3 linked regions of the Arabidopsis thaliana genome follow. The protein of the gene in region 3 interacts with the protein of the main gene of each other region in a pairwise test. Each region holds a gene or a part of one and is shown on either strand. Other genes may lie near its edges.

Region 1 (5,395 bases), on a different chromosome or scaffold from region 3:
ATCTCAAGTATATTCAAAAACTTACCTAGAAACTTTCCTTCTGCTTCAAAACTGTCATCCTGAAACTGATTGCAAGCAACAGTTTCCGAAGTTGAGTTAACAACAGGAGGAATAAGATGAAATCGAGCACCACTCTTTGCTGCGATGGTTTTCATAGTTTCACTATGGTCCTCTGTGCTCAATAACAGAGATATATCCTAGAAACCGAAGACAACGAGGTTAGATCCCAAGAAAATGTTAATCATTTTTTCTCGAGAGTAAAAAGAGCATAAGGCACACTTATTTTGTGAAACTTGAATGTGGTAGAAAACAGAGCAAACCAGAAAACTTCTGCCTTTTAGAATATTTTCTACTTTGTTCTACAGAGTACCCTTTTTAGTCTATGGAAAAAGACCTAATGCTAGAAAAACCAAGAGCTTGGATCAAAATTCTGAGATCACAAAAATAAGATCAAGAATACCTAACAATTGAGCCGAAATTAAAGCACAAGGAAATAGGAAGGCAAGTAGATTCCATACCGAATCATTCATGACATGTAAGAGTTCAGCCTCAGGATAGCTGAGTGCAAGTGGAACCGCTACACCACCGCTAAACCATGTCCCCAGGACTCCTGCAACAAACTCAGCTGAAGGTTTTGCCACAATTCCGATTCTAGCTCCTTTTAGACTACCAAACCCTTCATACTTCTTAGTTTCTTGACCTCCCTACGAAATTTATAGAAGACAAAAAAAGTCAATAACCATAAAGCTGTAAACAAACTGTGTGATAGCTTCAAGTAGTAGATATAGTAGCTACAATTTCAAACCAAAAACCATACATTTGTCGTATCATCTTTTAAGAACAATTTAGATATCCTCAAAGCAGACGATGTTAGCTGGCCATAAGAGTAACTCTTTCCATCGGCTTTAATCGCAATCCTATCACAAGAATTAGACGCTTCTGAAAAAGCTGCTTTAAACACTTCCATGAGTGAACCAGACTGTGAAGCTGCAACATTTTGATTACATAGATAAAATTCAGATTAATATATAGAAACTACATGTACAAAAAAAGAACAGATTGAGTTCCTTGGAGATGCTGCAAAATTTTCAATATAAATTCAGATCAAAACAACAACTTGTTCAGGTTTTTACGGATCATCAATGTTACTATATGGAAAGCACGAATCTTTAAGACATTTCGTCGAACATGTAACATGCAAAAACCAAACAAAGGTAAAGAAGAAAACTTACAGAAGAGATGGTTAGATTGGAAGAATCGAAACCCAGAATTGGAAAACGAAGTAGAAGCTGGGTGGGATCGAGGAAGAAGAGGAGAGGAGAGAATAGCGTAGGAGTTGTGGTTGAGTCGATGGTTAATTAAAGACAAGTAGTTGAAACTCTTTAATGTTGTCGTAGCGGTCATTTTTAGGTCTGGTTCGTTAAAAGGTTTCGACTTTTTTCGCAAGTCGTACAGTCAAATTACGTAGCCGTTCTTCTTAGGTGGTGGTTGCAATCGCCAAAAGAGAGCCTTCGTGTCGATCATGAAATAGCGACTGAAGCGTTTGGCGACTTTGATTCAGTGGAGAGTTTGGCACGTGGCGTGTTTTGATGATTAAAAGTGAGTGACAGGCGATAATGGGTTATTCTTTAATGACGCTTTATTAGGCATTTTTTTAAGGTTAATTACTGATTTGCTTTTTCTCATTTATTTGTGTTGTGAATTTCTTTCTAAGTATATTTACACAAAATTAAAGACCATCTGAATATTGCATTTTGAGTGATGTGATCCTGACCGTTGATGAATAACAATTGTGGTTAGCTAACATCTTATACATATGCTTTGATATGCATTGATTTTATTATTGTGAAGTTTTGAACTCTAGAGGAAGATTCTATTTAATGCCAACATGCAATTAATAACTTTTTTTTTATCAGTACCTTTTAAAGGGAGTGTACATCTTAGGTCTCCGGTTTGAGCATTGGAGAAGACTAATTTTGTTATATTAAATTATTAATCATGAAATTAGATTTCTTTAATCCAACTCCATCTTCGTCATCAACACATCATCATTCCCTCCAAGATCACTCTCTCTCGCTTTTGAATACCTTCGCGTTGTTCACAGAACCTTTTTGTTTCTTAGAAAACCCCTTGGAGCTGGCCAAAAAAAAAATCGAGAGAGAGACAATCATTCATCGTTCCGAATTAGGATCCAGCATTCCATTTTTGTTCTGATATCTGTCAGCCATGGCGACTCTCCGATACACTGATCTGATCTGATCTATGAATCGACGCTTCTCTGAGGATTCCTCACCGTTCATGCTCTAATCGGTTCGCCAAATTGAGGAACTAACTTGTGTGGCGACTATAATGTGTCAAGGACCGATATGACAGGAAACGCAGATTCCGGCAAAATCGCGACAGAGAAAGACCCTAGGAAGCTCGTTTTCACCAAATTGGAGGTATCTCCCGTCTTCCGAGAATCTCCTGTTAAAGAACTTCCTCTTTTTCCTCCGATTTCTCGGTATTGTTCCAGTTTCTCTGCCAATTTTCACTAGAGATGCTTCTCGTTTGAGTAATTTCAATCCAAAATCTACTCTCTGATCTCCACTGGTCTTGATTTTGAAGCAGAGAGCATTCAGAAGCAAAGGATAAGACAGATGAAGAAGGCATTACTTCGAGGAAACACAAAGGATGTCGATGCAAGCAGTCCAAATGTTTAAAGTTGTAAGTTCATTTCAGGATCCAAGAATTACTTAGTGTTAAGCTGATAGAGATTTGAGTATAATGTTGAATAGTGAGATTTCTATTATCTGCTGTAGATTGATGCATTATTGGATATTTGTTTGACGCTTGGTTATTAGGTACTGTGACTGTTTTGCATCAGGAGTGGTATGTACAGACTGTGATTGTGTTGATTGTCATAACAACTCTGAGAAATGTGATGCTAGAGAAGCAGCTATGGTGAATGTACTAGGTCGCAACCCAAATGCCTTCAGTGAAAAGGCTTTAGGTAGCCTAACTGATAATCAGGTATGTTCTTGACACCTATCACTTTTGTAGGTTAAGCTTCAAAGAGGTATATTTCACATCCTTTTTCATTTGTAAGTATCTGGGATGTTCTGTGTTTTGTATTGTAGTGTAAGGCTGCACCTGATACTAAACCTGGACTGCTTTCGAGAGGCTGCAAATGTAAAAGAACCAGGTGTTTGAAGAAGTACTGTGAGTGCTTTCAGGCTAATCTTCTGTGCTCAGACAACTGTAAATGCATCAACTGCAAGAATGTTAGTGAAGCGTTCCAGCCTCCTGCATTTTCTGCTCACAATTCCCCACAAGTATACCGGAGGAGAAGAGACCGAGAGCTAACTGAGGCAAGTGAAATATACTACTTGCTTCATAACATATATGCACTTTTGGGTTTATCTCCATAAAACTCATTTTTCTGTCCGGAATAGCAGTGGAATTCTTGTCCAGCTCCGTTATTTTCGATACCTGACAATTCCATTCAAAATGCTCTGGGTTCCCCTATGTCTTGCTCTCCTAAACTTCCTTACAGGTTCGATTTTGCATTTCCTAAAATGATAGTTCATCTTCCTTCACCTCATAATCATAAATATTTTAACTGAATTTTCATTGTGCTACTAGAAAGAAAAGGTCCCTCATGGGATACACCTCTACACTTCTTCCGGACTTGGGAGATTTATGCTCACTTCTCGTTGCAGCGTCAGAATCTGCTACAACAACTGCAGGTATATCTGTAGTCTCTTACAAAATCTACACTTTACTGGATCTACTATTCCTTTGGCTTCATCAACATACTTCCTTTAAAATCTCACTTAGAGGACCAGAACAGGATATTTACAAAGCCTGATGATAAGGAAGCCATTGAGCTGTCAAGTGAGTCTGAGAGTCGTAATGTGGAAGAAGAAATACAATCACGTGGAAGATTGATCGAACTGATAGATGTTCAATACAATGGAGAAGAGGATTCCCAATGTAAGACCAAGACAAGTGTCAATGAAACAGATATATACATGGAGCAGGAAAGGGCAGTGCTTGAAACTTTCAGAGACTGTCTCCAAAAGTTCATCAAATCGAGACTGGAATCATAACAGGTAATAATTCCATCTCATTTTGATAATCCCTCCATCCTCAAATAAATCCAATTACTGCACTTTTTTGTTGCTATTTATGACAGGTAAGGTTCATACAAGAAACAGAGAGCTGAACCATAGTTTCTTGATTAGGCATGGAGCTGAGACAGATCAACAATTTTAAACACGAACTAACCATTTGAAACCGCATTAAACACAAATCAATATAGGACTGGTGATAACGACATAACTAAATTTACTCCTCCAGCTTTATGATAATGAATAACCAAATTAATAGAGCGATGACTGATTAAATACTAGTAAGACATTTTCTTAATCTAAAATATTTCTCACTCCCAAATAGCAACCTCCATGAATCCATCCTCAGTTGCACATCCCCTGAACATCCCATTAGAGTTAAAACCACAAACCACCTCTCCTTTATTCGAGACAGCAATGAGTCCAGCGAACCCTTCGTCAAGTCGATGCTTGATGACGTAATCAACCGCTTCTTGGAGGTTAAGTCCTTTATACTCCATAACAGCTGACACATCACGAGCTAGGGTTGCTCTTATAATGGCTTCTCCTTCTCCGGTACACGACACACCACAAAACTCCGACGCATACGTCCCGGCTCCTATCAGCGGCGAGTCACCAATCCTTCCCATCATCTTGTTCATTAAACCACCCGTGGATGTCCCGGCGGCACAATGTCCTTTCCCGTCAACCACAACGCACCCGACTGTCTCCGGTGCGTAAATGCTGATCGGAAGACCGTTCATTTGGATTGGACTGTCGGTCGCAGCTGCACCGGCACATCCCATCGGCGGAATCCGGTAATCAAACTGGTGAGAAAGCAAAAAAAAAGAAAAAGTTGAGGATACAAAATAAAGAAAAACGTACGATGAATAAATGGACGGTGGAGATTTAAGTCAAAAACGTACCAAGATGGAGTTAGCTTCCTTGGCCAACTTGAGCATTCCTACGTTGTCGTCCGTGACAAAGTACTCGTTGTCCACAATTTCAACTCCCTTCTCATTAAACCGGCTTCGGTCAGAAGATTTATCTAACCAAGTGGTTTAGAATAAAAAGTGGAAGGGTAAAATAGTAAATAAACACCTGTTTGCGGGCGAAATCCTCTGCACCTGAGAAAGCAAGGTAAGAGTGGGGAGATTTGTCCATGACGAGACGAGCAAGAGATATAGGATTTTTCACGGTGGTTATCCCCGAAACGGCACCGCATCGTCTCTTCGTACCGTCCATAATGCTAGCTTCCATCTCAACCGTTCCTTTTTCCGTCAAAGCAGATCCACGGCCTGAAT
Region 2 (6,112 bases), on a different chromosome or scaffold from region 3:
ACATATCAGTTTAATTGGTAGTATATGATTTATATGCTGATTATGATTGAAAACTATCAGCCTGTTTTAAGGTAATTATGAGTTATGATGGGTACTTATGAGTTTGACCATATATAGGATTAGGTTGTTAAAATGCATACATACAGGTTATGTGTATGTTTATGTTTATATTTTCATATAAACAACAACAAGTACACTTTCTTGTAATTTAGTGATTTAGATTTCTTAATCAATTTGTGTTTTTTTTTAATTGTGGAGTAGTATGAATTGAGTTCACAAAATAGCAAATTTGTGACTACGAAAACTCCACGGAAGATATATAGAAGAATCGAAGAAAAGTAGAGAATAATGAGGAGTAAGTCAAATGATCAAATCCACGGACTAATCCATTATGTTTGATGTGACGAGAGAAAAATAAGTGAATATTTAATACTATATACTATAGTATATTTTTGCAAAAGTTAAAGGTGTTGCATTAATTTTTTGATAGCAAACAATTAAGGAAATGGGGGAAAAAGTGTAAGCGGGCGGCCAAGTGAAGACATTCTCTGTCGCCCACCCAAACACCAAAGAAGAGAAGGCGTGCCTCACTTTCCCTCTTTCTCCACGCACTTCTCCTTGCCCGTGTTTCTCACTCGCTTTACCCTAATCACTCCATTACAACTATACCTACAAGACCATTAAGATAAGCTTATCAATAAGAACACTGAGATAAAGTTGATCTCTATTTACGAATTGTTTACTACCAATAGATTTTGATTCGTACCAATCTTTTAAAGTATGTATGTATTGTTTGAATAGTAGTTCTACCGAACCAAAAATATTTTAATTGATCATGTAAAATATATTTAAGATTGTTGTGTGTTAATTATAGTGATCTTTAGAAAAAAGAGTAGCCAACGTGATAATGAAAGCGCGTGTTAAGAGTATTGAAACACTCACACGCTTGTGGAGGTTACCTGCTAAGTCGGTCGATTTGATCGATGGTGGGTCTTTTACACATCCCCAACGTCATTTACCATTTATTCAACCTCATATATTATGTTCTTGATGATGAAAAAGAACATAATATTTTTTTTTTTTTTTTTTTTTAATTTTTTTTTGATGATGATGAAAAAAAAAAATATTATGTTCTTTTTTAATTTCTTTTTAATATTTTTGACAGTAATTTTATTTTAATCTTATTTTGTTACAAATAGTTTTTAATACCTTAGGACCTGTTGGAACTTGGAAAAAAACAATATTTTTTAATATCTCAGGATCTTTGCCCATACATGTTTTGGGCACCCATGCGTTTATATGAAAAACAGCATGCAGATGTAAAATATAAACAACTGTAGATTTGGTCAGATGTTAAAATTTAAATTATGTCTTTTGAAATGTGACCTATAATTGTCCAGATAGATATACATAACTATTTAGTAATTGTAAGTCTATTTCCTGTAATGTATTCAGCTAAATGCATGTAGATAATCTGATATCACATACATCTATAGCCATATAGAGAATGCATAGTAACATCAACAACATATAAATTTTGGGCTATTTTCTAATGAGGGTTTTTGAGTATAAATGGATCTCCTAAAACGAGTTTACCGGATGGGTAAGGTAGTAGTTCCCTTTGAGTTTTCTTTCTGCTTTGTATAATTAAAACAAAGTAATTGATTAGGAACTTAGTAGGTCCTAAAGAGAACCAACAATGGTTTCGGTTATAAATAAACCAAATGGGTACATTATCCTTATATCTAGAAACTTTAACCAAAAACAAGATGTTATCTAGAAACAATAAATACATCCGGAATGAGACTTTTTCTTATGTAAGTCGATACAATGGGGGCATTGTTTTATTTCCCTTCAAATGAACTTTGCTTTTTGATCATTTTAAAAAGCCATATTGAAAAAATCAATGAGATAGGAAGATAGATATTATAATATTCTTTTTATAAAAAAGACAAAAAAAATACACTAAAACAATTGAATAAGAGTCAGCAAAACAACGACGTCCTTACCTTTTTTAAAAGTTTCCCAGTTTTGACTTTTGACCTAAACCATTTCCATGTAGAAAGAGAGCAAAAAACAAAACAAAACAAAGATAAGTAAAAAATAAAAATGATATAAAGAAGGAAGAAGAAGACCGAGAAAGGTAGACGAAAGAAAGAGCGTACCTTCCTCTTTCCTTCTTCGTAAAAACCAAGTTCCTTTTAAAAGGAGCCTCTCCTTTCTCATTTGATCCTTCTTCAAAAACCCCAACCACTTCTTCTCCCCAAAAACCTCCAAAGTTTCAATCTTTACTTCTCTCTTTTTCTCCAAGTTATCTTCTTTTCTAGGTATGTCTTGATTCTTTCTCTCTCTGTTTTTTCCTATTTCATTCAGGATTCTGGGTTTGGTTAAATCTTTAATCTTTATGGTTTTAATGGCTTGATTTTGACGAAACGGTCGTGTAATTATTCATTACTTTGCTTAAATTGGGGATTGATTTTGTGTATAAAGAAGAATCTTGAAAATGAAAAATTGAAACTTTGAATCGAAAGAACTCAATTTGCGTTGCTCTTTCTCATTCTTTGTTGCTTTCTCCTAAAAGTTTTTCACTTTTGAATCACAGGAAGAGATATGTGCGGTGCAAAGAGCAACCTTTGCTCATCTAAAACCCTAACAGAAGTCGAATTCATGAGGCAGAAATCAGAAGACGGAGCTTCCGCCACGTGTCTCCTCGAATTCGCCGCCTGTGATGATCTTTCATCGTTTAAGAGAGAGATCGAAGAGAATCCATCGGTGGAGATTGATGAGTCAGGGTTTTGGTATTGCAGACGGGTCGGGTCTAAGAAGATGGGTTTTGAAGAAAGAACACCACTTATGGTTGCTGCTATGTATGGAAGCATGGAAGTGTTGAATTACATAATTGCCACAGGAAGATCCGATGTGAACAGAGTTTGCAGTGACGAGAAAGTCACTGCTCTTCACTGTGCAGTTTCTGGCTGTTCTGTTTCTATCGTTGAGATCATCAAGATCTTGCTTGATGCTTCTGCTTCACCTAATTGTGTTGACGCTAATGGGAACAAACCGGTTGATTTGTTGGCTAAAGATTCTCGGTTTGTTCCTAACCAGAGTAGAAAGGCGGTTGAGGTTTTACTGACCGGGATTCATGGTTCGGTTATGGAAGAAGAGGAGGAGGAACTGAAGAGTGTTGTGACTAAGTATCCAGCTGATGCATCACTTCCTGATATTAACGAAGGTGTTTATGGAACTGATGATTTTAGGATGTTTAGCTTTAAGGTTAAGCCATGTTCTAGGGCTTATTCACATGATTGGACTGAATGTCCTTTTGTTCATCCTGGTGAGAATGCAAGGAGGAGAGATCCTAGGAAGTATCCTTACACTTGTGTGCCTTGTCCCGAGTTTCGTAAAGGGTCTTGTCCTAAAGGAGATTCGTGTGAGTACGCGCACGGTGTTTTCGAGTCTTGGCTTCACCCGGCGCAGTATAGGACACGGCTTTGCAAAGATGAGACTGGTTGTGCTAGGAGAGTTTGTTTCTTTGCTCATAGACGGGATGAGTTAAGACCGGTTAATGCTTCTACTGGTTCTGCAATGGTTTCACCAAGGTCGTCTAATCAGTCTCCTGAGATGTCTGTTATGTCTCCTTTGACGCTGGGATCATCGCCAATGAACTCTCCTATGGCTAATGGTGTTCCTTTGTCTCCAAGAAATGGTGGTTTATGGCAGAACAGAGTTAATAGCCTTACACCACCACCGTTGCAGCTTAATGGTAGCAGATTGAAGTCGACTTTGAGTGCTAGAGATATGGATATGGAGATGGAACTTAGGTTTCGCGGTTTGGATAACCGGAGACTTGGTGATCTCAAGCCATCCAACCTCGAAGAGACTTTCGGATCATATGACTCAGCTTCTGTGATGCAACTTCAATCACCAAGCAGGCATTCTCAGATGAACCACTATCCGTCTTCACCTGTGAGGCAGCCTCCTCCTCATGGATTCGAATCTTCAGCAGCCATGGCAGCTGCAGTGATGAATGCAAGATCCTCAGCGTTTGCGAAACGCAGCTTGAGTTTCAAACCAGCTCCAGTAGCTTCTAATGTCTCCGATTGGGGATCACCAAATGGGAAGCTTGAGTGGGGAATGCAAAGAGATGAGCTGAACAAGTTGAGGAGAAGTGCCTCCTTCGGCATTCATGGAAACAACAACAACAGTGTGTCACGCCCTGCTAGAGACTACAGTGACGAGCCAGATGTGTCGTGGGTGAACTCACTGGTGAAAGAGAATGCACCAGAGAGAGTGAATGAGAGGGTTGGGAATACGGTGAATGGTGCAGCGAGTAGAGACAAGTTTAAGCTGCCGTCGTGGGCAGAGCAAATGTATATAGACCATGAGCAGCAGATTGTGGCATAAGAAGCAGAAAGAAAGATGTGGGATTTATATTGCTTTTGTCTTCTGGGCCTCTCTACACAGAATCTAACAAATCTGGCAATAATTCTTTGATTTGTGTTTGACCCATAGTTTGGTTACTAGTATATGTTTTTTTATGTTCTTTTTTTCTTTGTCATTCTCTTGTCCTTCGTGACACTATGTAATGATTAAAAGCAAATAATTGATGCATGAGTTCAAATGTTCTTTGAAGGATCCATCTTATTAGCTTTGTAATTGTTGTGATATCTTAATCTTATTGGTTACGTATTTCAAGTGCTTTAGAAAAAATGGGCCTAAGAGATTTTGGGGAGCTTTTTTGGCTTGTTATTTTCCTCACATATACAACTTGCAGCTTATTATTTATTGAAAATCTTTTCTTATCTAGATTCAAAAAGATTTCCACAAATTTTAATTAACGACCCCTGATTACAAAGAAACCTACCCAAAGTCAAATTTTGTCCATAATTTCTATCGTGTAGGACACTAAAAAGTAAAAACTCATACCTAATTGGTTTCTAGTAGAAACGGTCAGTGCACTATCTTTCTTTCAGGTTATCGAAGGAAAAAAGATCAGTAGAGTAGCATCGTTAATAGTAGAGTTAAGAAAAGCATGTAACATGTGGTCTACTTTTTATTTCACAGAAAAATACCATACCATGTGATAATGTCGCATAAAATCTTTACTTTTCCGGTGTTATCGATGTGTGTTAATGCTAAATACCCGAAACAATTTCAAGACTCAATTTTGAACTATCGAATAGAATTCTTCTAAAATGGATGAGGAAAAAGTCGCTGGTTTAAGTCGTGCGACCCTCAAAATAAAGTTAGGAATATAATCACAAGCTGCATACTTTCATTAATCAATTTAAAAAGAAACGACTAACTTTATTCTTTCTTTGCCAAACTCCATAATTAGTTAAGTCTATGAATGAATGTGAAGAGAGAGTTTTACATTTAAAATTGTAAAGGGCAAATTATAGAAAATTCTGTGTCCACCAATTAGGCTTGGCTCTTTAACTCACTGTTCTCAATCTTTAATAATCCCCATCTTCTTTTCTCCTATATGATTATCTCTCTTTCCTTCGTGCGTGTTATCTCTCTGAGCCACATGCCGACACTTACATAACTGTTGACCAAGTCTCTCTTCCTTCTTTATCAAATCATGCAACCTTCAAGAACAAGAGTTTCATTTTTTGAAACAGGAGAGACCATGAAGCAAAGAAAGAAGAGTTATCTCTCAATCTTCGTGATCTTCTTCTCTCTTTTCTTCTTCGGGATCTTCATGTACAATGACAACCTCAAATCCTCCATTGCTGACTTCACATCTTCGAACCCATTCTCTAGTTCATTTGTGGAGTTGCCGCCGGATGAGTGTGATCTGTTCACCGGTCAATGGGTTTTCGACAACAAGACATATCCATTGTATAAAGAAGAAGAGTGTGAGTTCTTGACGGAGCAAGTGACTTGTTTAAGAAACGGAAGGAAAGATTCTTTGTTTCAGAATTGGAGATGGCAACCTAGAGACTGTTCTTTACCAAAGTAAAGCTAATGTTTCAAGATGCCCTGTTTTTATCCGGTTTGATCGAATTGGTATTTAACAATTGTCTGTTTTATGATTGGTTTGATGAAGATTCAATGCAAGAGTGTTGTTAGAGAAGCTGAGGAACAAGAGATTGATGTTTGTCGGTGA
Region 3 (5,647 bases):
AATGATGTGCATAAGATTTACGAAATGTGTTGTCCATTGATTCAGGATGAAACCGTTAGCAGATACAATTATGTGCCACGAGAAACTTAGCATTTCCTTTGTTATTGTATTTTATGATTGATCAATTTGCCGTATAATAACTTGGGACCAAATTCATATGCATTTTCGATTAAAAAAAAAAAAAAAAATCGTATTCATGACGAAACAATTGCAAGAAAATGATGACCCAATTCATCTAGCAACATATCATATTTATAATAATAAAAAAGGGAAAAAGTGAAAATTTTGAACCATAGTCCAATAACAAATCTTAGAAGAGATGATATCAATTAAATTTTACTTATTTAACTAAAATCTCAAATTGTTGAATTGTGAAGAGTAATCTCACAAATCATATACATCCTGACATATACATCAAGAAATGAAAATCATACAAAAAAATCTCTATTCTAGGTTCGTTAATAAAAGAGGTTATTAATATGTATGTAACTGAATAACGATAATATACATAAGGCTCTTGCATATAATTTATTTAGGTGTATTCAAATAAATCCTGCAATTTAGGATTGAATAACTCAAGGAATCGTTAATTACCACCTCATGAAAATGTTAGACAACCAACAAATCATATTTACAAATACAACAGTATCAAATATCTCTTTCAAGAATTTTGGTATATATATATTAGACATACTCTAAACTAAAATAAAACTTATAACATATGTATTGTGAAAGGACAGATACAGAGGAATGGGAGTTATCAATGTGTGACAAGTGAGAGCAGAAAAGCATGACCAAACTATTCAACAGGTACATTAAAGTGTTCTCAGGAAGGGAAATCTAATCTTTTCTTCTGACATAATTTTGTAGCCAACTAAATTGACAGGAAACGAATCATTTAGATTTATATACATGCATAAGTAGTTATCCCTCGAACATTTTTATATATATAGGAAATATAACATGAGTGTGTGGATAACAGTTTACATTTAAAAAGATTGGAGGAAAAAGGAAACTTTGGTGCAAGAAATCAGAAAGACAGAAGTGGTGAAAATACAAGAACTTATAAAATTAATGAGTGGATACATCAAAATTCAATTATATTAAAAAAAACAATGATTAAGCTGATAGGTCTTCTTAGTTTATATGTCTTTCTTTCCTCCATCGAATTTGCCTCTGCCTCATATACCATTCTCTTTTAGTATGAATTTATCCATTGATTTTATGTAATGATTATGTTGAAACTCTCGGGACAAATAGAGAAAATGAGCTTTTTAAGTCTCTAAAATACTTTATTTCTTCAAACTATATAAACGGAACAAATAAGTACATCCACTTTTACAAAACCTGGTTTACGTAGATTTTATTCCCTCCGTGCAAATGGGAGGAGATTAAATCAACCTACATCCAATAAACGATAGCAATAATTACGAACCCACATCAAGATTTTTAACAATTTCTATATGAGAAATGTTAAAAATAATTGTAATGATAATAATTAGGTAGTTGAAGAGACAAGACCAGAAGAAACTCACGAAAGCAGGCTTTTGTGTTTGTGTCGACATGTAATTTTATCAAGGGAAAGAACAGAAGTTGTTGTTGTTGAACCCACTTCTGTCTACAAAGTTCTCTCTTTCTTCTCCCTCTTCCTAAATTAAGCAACACATCACTATCTATTAATCTTCCAATAATTGATTCTTATCTATCTTCATTCTCCTTATTATAATTATTATCTGAAATAATCACTTATAGAAAAAAATGAAAAACCTGAACTTGTGCATGTGTGGGAACTACAGAATTATCCAATAGTGAAGGAAAGATAGGAGTAGTTGTTGGCATTGCATTGGTAAAAGACGTTCCTACTTCTGGAGAACCCATCTGTCCATCAAGAAAATATCTACTTAAGATCCATAACCGGCTTTTCGGGATACATGACTTGGTTTTATCGGTAACCGGATTAAGAGACATTGTGTAAATGAAATACCTCAGATTGAAGTATGAGGCCATCAAGGTCGGAGCCAAAGTCATAGACCACCGGACTTATAGAAGTTAGCTTCATTGAGAGAAACTAATGAAACAGAAAAAAAAGTTATGAATTAGAAACATTAGTTTTAACATAAAATGTTACAAGAAAAAACAAAATAATTAAGAAAATGCACCTCAACTTGAGTCTGCAAGGTCTGGACATAATTTATAATCTCATCCAACATGAGGGCCTTCCCTGTTACCTATTCGTTTTCAAGTCACATTTAATCAATTAATAACATTTTCTAGAAACATTATAAAATTAAACCATTATCAATTCTCCTAAATAAAATTGTCTCTACTCTAGCTGACCTTATCACAGCCCGGAACAAGGTTTTGCAGAGTCCTCATCCGCTCACTTATCTTTTCCCTTCTCACCTTTACATATATATATATATAAGTTTAATCAAATATTAATCAAAATGTATTTTATGAAAACATGATTAATGAAGAAAAATTAAAATGTTAAGAGAAATGACTAAAATACCCTCTCAGCAAGGCTGTGGCTATCAGTAGCTTGGCCTCTTCTAGCTCGAACGTGAATGTAATCTGTTGGAGGCTCTTCTTTGCTTCCTCTCTTCTGTTTTTTGCTTTTTCTTCCCTCTACTCCTTCCTAATTCACCAAACCACACCAACATTTATGTTTTTGACTATCCCAACCCCATCACATAAATGATAGATGATACATTACAAGTTGGTTTAACATACCTTGGAGTTATTACTGTTTCTGGCCTTCCTCCCACGGGTTTTTCCGGTGTTGGTGATGGCTGATGGTCCGTGGCTGAGCTGGTCGCAGGAAGAAGAACCGGTGGTTGCTGTTTTGGTTGTGTTGGCCAGTTTCTCTGAACCAGAGTTTTCAGTTTTGTCAACATTATATTCAAGAAAGGAAATGTCTTCAACTGTGGAAATGTTTGGTAGTGGATAGAGATGGTTTTGATCGATGAAACTAGTGAGATTAATGGAGGAGTGAGGTGTAGGGAAGAGAAGAGGATCAAGAAGGGAATGAGGGTAGTTTTGGAAATAAGAGAAAGTTGCCATTTTAAGAGTAGAAGCTTCTGAGTTCTCTTATCTTTGTCGATAGAGATAGTGTTTTTTCTTTGTGAGAGAAGATTAAGGACTTGAAGTGGTTTATATAAGGAATTGCTTTTGTATTCACTATTCAAAGAAACAAGGAGAAACAGAAGAAAGAGTATTTTAGGGACCACTTGTATATTGAAGATACCTTTTTATTTGAGAAGAAATTACTACCATATTTCGGCGGGTAATTTATGTTAGATGATATGTTTATATATAATATCGAGATTGTATATTTAAGTAATTGCATTGAGTAACCATGGAAGAGTAAAAATGAAAATTTAAGTAAATAATGTTGAATTTCAAAAATTAGGTGACTAATGATCTTTCATCATTCTTAGATACGTATGTTCTCTTTTTTTTTTTTTTTCAAATGCAAACTCATGGAATATTTGTCTATTTATTTTGTTTAGTTTTATTACTCTATGGGTATCATGATATTTTAGAAAATTTGTTTCAAATTACTTTATGTAAGAACTTATAATTTTAAATTTTGTTGTAATTTGTATTCTCCATAGTTTTATGTTATTTAGAGAATAAATTATGTTTTGAAATATAAGATTATAAATACTACATAATTTGTAATACAACCATGTTGTAAAACTAAACAAGACAAATACTGATCAATATATCATTTAATTAAGACTTTTTTTATAAGAATATAATAGCGCATAACGTGAAAACAATAAATGTACTATAAAAAGAAGTAATCAACTAAACCCATTAAATGAACGAAAGAACGACCAACGTGGGCAGTCGAACTCGAGGAAAATGTTCTCTAAAACCAATTGATGTATTTGTATTGACCATCAACTACACTCACGTAAGCATTCAATATTGTCGCCCTAACAACGAACTATATTTAGAAATGCCCTAAAGCTATGGCTTGTTTTACTTTATAAGAGGGTCGGACCTATAATACACATATCAAAAAAGTTAATGTACACCAAAAGAGCAATATTTATCATTTATCAATCAATTTTACTTTATCAGATTGCAGAACCTTTGCCACAGCTAATATATAGATCAATATATAGGCACAGTTTAACGAGTCAGATATAATTAAAGACTAGATAGTAGAGAGATATATTACCCTATCCAAAATACTGTACATTTAGAACTAAATATGTAATGCCGCGTGATCTTCTCAATAATAATCTCTATGTGGATACCATAATACTACAAACTTTTGTCCATTTTTGTTAGAGAAAATAAAAACTTTTGTCCATTTCCCACTTTGGATCGACATAGGAAATTTCCTTTTCAGAAAAGGACAAAAGAAAAAAAATTGTGAATAAGGTGTGAAGTCCAATCCCATGATACCGTTGGGTATGCATAGAAGACAAAAAATCATAAATCTCCATTTTGTTTTGATATAATCGGGTACTCTTATAGTAATAATCGAAAAAACGAGTACTTGACCATCAAAATTTATCACAATCCATGTCCTTAATTATTTAGACTATTATAATTCCTTTCTTCTATTTATAAATTATTATTATGACACGTACTTAACAAAAACATTAAGCGAATCTACGATTAATTAATTATCAATTGTATACGTACGAATACGATCTATGGACTTTCTATTATGATTTTCTTTTTGAGATCAAGTTTAGAGCAGAAAGAAAACATGCTAATTAGGAACCAAGAAAACATTATGATTGTTCTTTTGGACATAATTTACATGTCAAAGGTCCGCATGAGCTTGTAATTAATTATCATAACCCGAAGATGATAGAGATTATGCACGTTTCATCCGGATGAGGAATAAACATTTATTGGCATCATATTTTCTTCACCAATATCTCTCTTTTGCTTCTTTTCAAATCAGGGTACTTGCACAAAACCTTTATTCTTTATCTAACGCATTTAATTAGCGGCTGATCTATTATTTGTACTGTGTTTTGAATATTCAAGATCACATTTAAAGAAAAGAATAAGTGCACGAGACTAATTACGAAAGGATGATATGAAAATGAATCTTGAATTACGAGATAGATTAGGTACATTACTTCACTCTAAGAAATTGACTCAAAGTTTTCTTCTACCATCCTATATCCCAAAACATTACTTACAAATGCAAAGAAACAACTTCCATTTTACGGCGTTTTCTGGCCGATAAGTCTAGTGAATTATGTGACGATTGTAAGATATATGAAGTAAGTTAGGTTGATCTCATAACTGTTATAGATCTCTATTAATCACTTCGTTTATTTAGCTTAATCTCATTATATTTGTTATTCAAATATGTTGCATCTCTATATGTTTTCTTCTCTATTATCAAAACAGTTTTATGTCCTTCTACCATATTATTTCCATTTTGTTTAGTGAAGTATTGATTTTCTCTACTAAGAAGAATACAAATAAATCAACCTGGCAATAGACTAATTAACGTACGGTTACGTCTACGAAATAGATATTCATAGAAGTCTCTATCCGCATGATACGAGAGATAACCTTTTACTCACATATCATCGCCTACAATGCAATAAAATAGTAACAAAGAGAAAAAAATTCTAATTAAAAATTGATGAGTTTTGTGATG

Evidence for each region. The genes of interacting proteins can lie anywhere in the genome.
Region 1: the proteins of AT5G50915 (region 3) and AT3G16160 interact in a two-hybrid assay, tested with the Arabidopsis thaliana proteins (one large-scale study listed by BioGRID).
Region 2: the proteins of AT5G50915 (region 3) and CZF1 interact in a two-hybrid assay, tested with the Arabidopsis thaliana proteins (one large-scale study listed by BioGRID).

The regions. Positions count from the first base shown.
Region 1 is NC_003074.8:5,472,062-5,477,456, reverse strand, and holds AT3G16160 (Tesmin/TSO1-like CXC domain-containing protein), read left to right. Parts: upstream 1-2,109; 5' UTR 2,110-2,366; coding exon 2,367-2,503; intron 2,504-2,610; coding exon 2,611-2,706; intron 2,707-2,843; coding exon 2,844-3,012; intron 3,013-3,119; coding exon 3,120-3,350; intron 3,351-3,437; coding exon 3,438-3,535; intron 3,536-3,624; coding exon 3,625-3,728; intron 3,729-3,819; coding exon 3,820-4,091; downstream 4,092-5,395. Other genes in the region: AAE13 (AMP-dependent synthetase and ligase family protein), read right to left, coding at 26-197, 519-704, 818-987, 1,233-1,404; ASPGB1 (N-terminal nucleophile aminohydrolases (Ntn hydrolases) superfamily protein), read right to left, coding at 4,424-4,918, 5,018-5,104, 5,193-5,395. UniProt on the Arabidopsis thaliana protein: Plays a role in development of both male and female reproductive tissues.
Region 2 is NC_003071.7:16,769,927-16,776,038, forward strand, and holds CZF1 (zinc finger (CCCH-type) family protein), read left to right. Parts: upstream 1-2,070; 5' UTR 2,071-2,327; intron 2,328-2,602; 5' UTR 2,603-2,610; coding exon 2,611-4,404; 3' UTR 4,405-4,808; downstream 4,809-6,112. Other genes in the region: TBL28 (TRICHOME BIREFRINGENCE-LIKE 28), read left to right, coding at 5,585-5,961, 6,053-6,112. UniProt on the Arabidopsis thaliana protein: Involved in salt stress response. May positively modulate plant tolerance to salt stress.
Region 3 is NC_003076.8:20,709,190-20,714,836, forward strand, and holds AT5G50915 (basic helix-loop-helix (bHLH) DNA-binding superfamily protein), read right to left. Parts: upstream 3,276-5,647; 5' UTR 3,064-3,275; coding exon 2,734-3,063; intron 2,639-2,733; coding exon 2,513-2,638; intron 2,404-2,512; coding exon 2,338-2,403; intron 2,229-2,337; coding exon 2,160-2,228; intron 2,069-2,159; coding exon 1,985-2,068; intron 1,879-1,984; coding exon 1,768-1,878; coding exon of another isoform or gene 1,747-1,767; exon of another isoform or gene 1,650-1,746; coding exon 1,575-1,649; 3' UTR 1,536-1,574; exon of another isoform or gene 1,402-1,535; 3' UTR 914-1,401; downstream 1-913. Other genes in the region: AT5G50910 (uncharacterized protein), read right to left, coding at 1-93.